Xenopus tropicalis: one gene and its partner. The protein of the gene in region 1 interacts with the protein of each later gene in a biochemical or structural test. Links are inferred from orthologs where the notes say so. Each region holds a gene or a part of one and is shown on either strand. Other genes may lie near its edges.

Region 1 (3,757 bases):
TGTTACACTTTCATTTTTTGGTATTGTTGTTCTTTTAACTTTGTATGAATGTATTATATCACTATGTATTTTATATATATATATATATATATATATATTTATTCATGTATATACACACAGAGAATACATACTTTGATCATTTATGTAGTAGGTACATTTTAATATTTACATTTATTTTAGTTATTCTGTGGATCTCCACGAACACATATGTATGAATGTGTCTGGATTTGAAGAGAATGAGAGAAAGAATAGCTTGTAATATATATATATATATATATATATATATATTATTTCTTTCTCTCATTCTCTTCAAATCCAGACACATTCATACATATGTGTTCGTGGAGATCCACAGAATGATTAAAATAAATGTAAATATTAAAATGTACCTACTACATAAATGATCAAAGTATGTATTCTCTGTGTGTATATACATGAAAATATGAAACCATTTTCAAGAACTCCTAGAAAGCTACAGAGTACACCTAGAGGAAAAGAAGGCGATGACCAGGAAAACAGGTAACCTAGCCTATTCCAATCACTGGAAATGTACTCATTCCTTACAAGATTAAGCGATTCGAAGTCGCGTCGCTGCAGCGTCCCACTTCCTGTACCAGGCCGCGTTGCCGCGGAAACAGTGACATGTTGGGTTGCTAGACAGGGAGGGTTTTGTTGCTTCCATTTTTTTCAAAAAACTTTATTAACTAGAGGAAGCCACTAACACTGAAGAAAAAATACAGTATACTGTACATTAGTGCGCGGCTGGCTTCAACCCAGCACCTCAGGGTCGGCCGTCCATGCACTTTACTTATATTGTGGCATGTGCATCATCCAAACCAAACAATACAGCAATATTTCCGAGTTCAGAGAAAAACAAAAATCGCATGGGTTTTGTTACAGCGGGAAAGTGTGCCGCTACAGAAGCATTTTGCAATGCGGCCAAGCTGACACAACTTTAGTTTATACACAACTCAATGAACTGCTCGCTACAAAAGCAACACTGAAGTGGCAGCGCTCGTCAATAAACTTTATTGTTCGCGAAGCAGCGCAGTGAGCACAGCGGGGCAGGGTGTGTTTCCTCCTCAATTCGCTCAACTTTAATGAACATCGCTGGGCGCGAACACTGCCAGTCTCCCGGCGCTGCTGCTTGTGGCTATTGCCGCTTCTCTGGAGGCCTCAGCTGAGTTCTGCTCCCCCGCCCTTTCCCTCGCTGAAGATGCCGAGCAAGAAAAAGAAATACAACGCTCGTTTTCCCCCGGTGAGTCGGCGGTCTCCTCTCGCACCGCTCTTTCCTGGTACAGGCTCCCCGAAAATCTCCCGCAAGGACCCCCCTCTGGTTCTGGATCCTTTGCGTTGCGCCGGATTTTGGCATCTTTTTTGCTCTGCCCAGCGCTATGGTTATGGGCAGTAGGAGCGTTGTGCAGAGTATTCAGCCTCATTGTAACAATAACACTGTATCCGCACACGCTGCAGCTTGTTATTGCTCACTAGTGCCTTTTGTACAGTCTATAAACATATATTGTTTACGTTCAATACACTGGTTCCTTAACGGAGTATCTGCCCCTCGACCAGGATGTTCGGTGCCTTGGCAGGGCCAACCCGCAGCCACCCGGGGACATAGCTGGGTAGAATGCCCAAGGTACTATTTAATTCCCTTCATGAAGGTCATTTAAAGCAAGTTTTGGGGTGAACACTGTTCTTATGGCTGTGACTGAATGGATAATACACAGAGTCTGTGATCTTGTTATGGGCTAAGGGGGTCCAAGCCAAATGGTGGGTCTTAAAGGTGAGAAGATAAGGGACCTGGGCAGTTTTTGGCTTTAATTAAGGTGGGGGTGGATCCTGGCCAAGTGGTGGGCCTTAGATGAGGGGGTCCTGGTTAAGTGTTGGGCCTTATTGGGGGGGGGGAGGTAAGGTCAAATGGTGGAAATTAAAGGGGAAGGGGGGCCCTGGTCAAATGATGGGGCTAAAGGGGGGGGGGGTCAATTAGTTGGCCCTATTGGGGGTGTCCTGGTAAAATGGTGGTGGGCCTTAAAAGGGGGGGGGGGGGGGCTGGTCAATTGGAAGACCACTGTTCTTATGTTTGACACGCATACACCTTGCTATCCTATTCATCCAGTGCACAAGTAGGCCTTCCTCATTACCTTAACATTAGTTGCTCTCAGTGCCCCCAAACCAGGGAGTTATTTTTGAATTCCTGACTTGGGGGCAAGTTTTGGTTGAATAAAAACAAGGTTTACTACCAAATAAAGCCCACTGTAAGCTGATAGGTTGCATAGAGGCCCCTAATAGCCAATCAAAGCCCTTATTTGGCTCCTCCATGAACTTTTATGGTGCTTGTGTTGCTCTCCAAGTCTTTTTACATTTGACTGTGGCTCATGAGTAAGAAAGGTTGGGGATCCCTGCCTTAACCAATACTTTCTTCTCTAACCATTCATTGTCATCCTTTGCCTAAATTGCTTAGTATGATGGGATTTTTTTTTAATAGTACTAAAGGGTAAATTTGCCAGGGCTCACTATCGGACATTTTATCTGCTATATCTTATTGCTGAAGCTTCCTAGAGCAGTGGTAACCCCTGCGTTTTAGTGAGCTTAACATAACCATTGCAGTTCTTCTTTTATTTAGAAATAACTTACTTCTAACTATTTAGAAAATGTTCAAAGTTATATTTATTTATTTAATAAAAACCTAGTGTTTGTGATTTTTCTGCTCCCACCTCTGTTGGTTCTCATGTCTACTTCAGTAAGCATAGACTGTTTCTCTGCCTTCTATATTTACTTCCCCTTCGAAGGGGCACAATTTCCCTTTTTTAAATACATTAGAGGACATTGTGAACAGATAGCAGGGAATTGTTTTTTCCCACAGAAAAGATGAAAGAATAAGAAGTCCCCTTTAGACTTGAGCAACTGAACTTTGAAGCAGCTTAGGTGATTTTTTTTATGGTAAGGGCAGTGAGGTTGTGGAATGCCCTGCTGGCAGATTCTGTCAATGCTTTTAAGAGGGGCTTGGGTAATTTCTTGGACAAGCACAATATCCATGTCTATAGTGATTTTAAGATCTACGATTATCTCAGTATAGATACATGTTCATATAGTTACATAGGGTTGAAAAAAGAGTCCATCAAGCTCAACCCATCCAAGTAACAGCAACACACAAACATATACTGACCTATCTATACACTCACATACATAAACTATATATACCAACATCAATTCTAACTGTAGATATTAGTATCACAATAACCTTTGATAGTCTGCTTGTTCAAAAACCTATCCAGGCCCCTCTTAAAGGCATTAACAGAATCTGCCATCACTCGGAAGGGCATTCCCCAACCTCCCCAAACTTGTACAGAGTAATCATGTCCCCTCGCAAGCACACAACAAAACATCTGTCAGATTTCATTCCAATTTATTCTAAAGCAGGCAGACATATTACAATAACAATCTTTCCTGCGACCATTAGAGTTTACTAACTTGGATCAGAATAATCTCCTTTAACGTCCTAAGGGCATTGAAATGTTGAGGCAGAGTTTTGGTATGTTCCATTTGGTCCTAGCTGTCTGAGGCTCTTGGGATATTAGTAGACTCAATTTTTTTTTGAAGATGTGCTTTTTATAATTCTGATGTAATTATGTCATATTTATAAAGCGCTGTGTATTTGTGTAGGCACTATAAAGAGATTAAATGTCTTTCGCATCAGTCCCTGCCCCATGGGACGTTTTATTTGTGAAAAGACATAGAGAAAAAACATTTGCTT
Region 2 (3,449 bases), about 66 Mb from region 1:
CTCTGTGTGTCACCATAAAGGTATGCTGACACTGTTTTCAAATCTCTGAAATGCCATCCCCAGGACATGATATTCTGGAGATGGCACAGTAATTGATAGTGTGCATATTCCACAGGGCTTTACAGAGATTAAGCTTTATTCACATCAGTCGTTGCCCCAGTAGAGCTTACAGTTTAGGGTACCTATCACATTAACACACTATAATCAGTTTTAGCATGAGGTCATTAAAGGAGCAGTAACACCAAAAAATGAAAGAGCTTTAAAGTAATAAAAATATAATGCACTGTTGCCCTGCACTGGTAAAACTGGTGTGTTTGCTACAGTAACACTACTATAATTTATATAATAAGCTGCTGTGTAGCCACGGGGGCAGCCATTCAAGCTGGAAAAAAGGAGAAAAGGCACAGGTTACATAGCAGATAACAGATAAATTCTGTAGAATACAATAGTGTTTTATCTGTTATCTGCTATGTGCCTGTGCCTTTTCTCCTTTGAATGGCTGCCCCCGGGGCTACATAGCAGCTTATTTATATAAATTATAGTAGACTTTCTGAAGTAAACACACAACTTTTACCAGTGCAGGGCAGCAGCACATTATATTTTAGTTACTTTTATACACTTTCATTTTTTGGTGTTACTGTTCCTTTAACCTGCCTGCATGTTTTTGACCTTTATGTGATATGTGTGCCATTCTAGAGCCATTTTGTTATTTAATAACTGTGTAGTGTTTTATGTCTTTGTTTCTAGCACTGGAAAGTTTGGGTTTTGGTTCCTACATCAGCGAGGTAAAAGATGTCCTGCAAGAATGCAAAACTGTAGCATTAAAACGACGAAAAGCAAGTTCTCGTCTTGAAAATCTTGGCATTCCTGAAGAAGAGCTTCTAAGGCAGCAACAAGAACTATTTGCAAAAGTAAGTGATTGGTGTTACTTATAGGACTGGTCTCCATTTGACAGATAACCTTTTAGATCAATGGTATGAGTCTCATTTGTTGCCCATGTGAAGTCACACTTGTGGTTGGGCAACAAAAGACCCAGCAATACCTTTCCATGAAATTACATTATTGCTTGAAACAACCAAAAGAATTGTTAATCAAACCTGTCTTGTTAATCGTACATGCATAAATTGCTTTTTGTCTTCAATATGTTCTATAAAATACCCTACCCTTTTCTAGGTCTAGACTAGACCTAGAACATGCCTATTCTATAACATACTATTTTTAAAGCAATGACCCAAGCAGAATCTCCCTTTTTTGCATTTTTGCAACTTAGAGACAATTTATCTAGTTATCAGGCTTTGGTATTGGTGATATTATAAAAGGTGCATAATGCATCAGGTCTAGTAGCACATAAAGGCAGGTCACCTGGTTGAAAGCAAACATCCAATATATTTTTATGGCCTACGATTCCTAATATAAACTTTGTGACTTTTATGACATTACTCAGTGACTTTATTTTCTTTATTGGAAGAAGAACTTGGGAGAATTTCTACTTTCCTTTTCTAAGAAGCAGGTCTGTTTTTGAATTACTGCTTGTTCTCTAAAACTCTGCTTTGGTTCTAGGCAAGACAGCAGCAAGCAGAATTGGCTCAGCAGGAGTGGCTACAAATGCAGCAAGCTGCTCAACAAGCACAACTTGCAGCTGCAACTGCCAGCGCTTCAAACCAAGCCGGTTCCTCTCAGGACGAGGAAGAGGATGATATTTGAGTATTTCCAGCTATGTTAATATCAACCTTTGAATATTTTTCGCCTGCACAAAGAGAAGTGGAAAATGCTTAATTGTAAATTTTTTATGCATCTTGGTGGACTGGTTATTGATATTCTAGGGATGTCTGTTAAGTCTCCGCTCTTGTATGCAGCATAAATGTACAAATATCCTTTTTGAACTGTTAATAATAAGGTTCAGTATCATATCAATAGAGAATTTTTAACAGCCTTTATGAGAATTTTATATTAGCAATCAGTCATTAACTTGAACAATAAGCAGTGTTAAACCAGAATACATCTTTATTAAATATAGCGAGATTTATACAGAAACTCTAAAATACATTTGCATTTCCCTTTTAACTAAGCTTAAAAAAATTCTTAGGGGTTTTTTTTTTAATTTTGTGGGTTGGGTAAGGGATGTTGGCTTGTCTGGCAGGCACATGATGAAGTCAAAGATCACTGTCAGGAAAGTGTGTCTGTAATACTGAATTTTAGGGGAGGATGTGAAAACTTTGTACAGGGCAAAAACATTGGATGCTTTGCTATGGGCTTTGCAAACCAAGGAATTTAAAACTGTGTCAGTAGAAGAAACATTGGCCCAAACATGTTGACTGGGGAGGGATCTTTTTTTAGAAATTGTCATGGTAATTGCGCTTTTTCTTTTTTTTTTTTTTTTTAAGACCCTTTAAGAGTTAATAAAAAGGACATGTGAAATCCAAGCTCTTTCTAAAAGGGGAACCACAACTAAAAACTGCATCTGGTGCAAAGTAAATATGTGAAGGATGGTATTAATTATATTTGTGGTTGTAAGTAAATTCATTCTTTTTTACCCCAAAACAACATGTTAGGGATTTTTTTTTTTTTTAAATTTACTCTGGCACGTCACATCTATAAATTGTTGTATATTTGTATTTTTAATTGTATTTGATTTGATTAGTTCATTGCTGTATGGTCCTAGTTAGCATTTATCCTGCACCTTGAATTTAGTGACTGTAAGTAAATAGGGACTTGTGTTTGCTCAGTGTCACAATGTAACAAGATGCGCGCACACACACACATATATATATATTAGTATGAAAGGCAGCGCACTCGCCCAAAAAAACGCAAGAAAAGCCCAGGTGCTGCTGCAAAAAATATCAGCATGTAGAACACAGAGACTTCAATTATGTGCAAACATTTAATGGTGTTTTGGTCCTACACAGAGGACCTTTTGTGATATCTTGATAAAGGTCCTCTGTGTAGGACCGAAACATTGAGTTGCACCATTAAATGTTTGCATGTAATTTAAGTCCCACGAGTACTCTGTGTTCTACATATATATGTATATATTAGTGTGTACTGCACCGATAGTACTGAATAAGACACTGCATTGTTTTATTAGTGCTGTAAGAGACCTTACAACTGGAGCATGTTCATGAATAAGTGTTGTTACCAAAGTTTATCAGAAATAGAATTTCAGTATTTATTGAGTCAGAAGTTCACATCTGTGGCACATGTTGGAGATTTTGGGCGTTTTGTTTGCTGTTGCATGAAAATGCCAAAAATAACCACCTGGTATTTAGAATATTAACACCTGAAATCAAATGAAAGCACAACTGAGCAAAATAGCCATGGCAGGAGGCTTTTTTTTCTGCAAATTGCCTGAACTCTGCTCCATGTGCTATAGGTCTAAAGGTTTAAAAAGGCTAACTAGTCCATTTATATTTTATATAAAAGATATTGCTAGTAAAGGCCACTGTGTATGT

The links. The genes of interacting proteins can lie anywhere in the genome.
Region 2: the proteins of drap1 (region 1) and dr1 form a complex in vitro, tested with the Homo sapiens proteins (2 studies listed by BioGRID). The link is inferred for Xenopus tropicalis from reciprocal best matches to the Homo sapiens genes DRAP1 and DR1.

Annotation. Positions count from the first base shown.
Region 1 is NC_030680.2:38,501,342-38,505,098, forward strand, and holds the start of drap1 (dr1-associated corepressor), read left to right. Parts: upstream 1-1,151; 5' UTR 1,152-1,216; coding exon of another isoform or gene 1,217-1,258; exon of another isoform or gene 1,259-1,630; coding exon of another isoform or gene 1,631-1,639; intron 1,640-3,757. UniProt on the Homo sapiens protein: The association of the DR1/DRAP1 heterodimer with TBP results in a functional repression of both activated and basal transcription of class II genes.
Region 2 is NC_030680.2:104,109,358-104,112,806, reverse strand, and holds the end of dr1 (protein Dr1), read left to right. Parts: intron 1-747; coding exon 748-911; intron 912-1,560; coding exon 1,561-1,704; 3' UTR 1,705-2,806; downstream 2,807-3,449. UniProt on the Homo sapiens protein: The association of the DR1/DRAP1 heterodimer with TBP results in a functional repression of both activated and basal transcription of class II genes.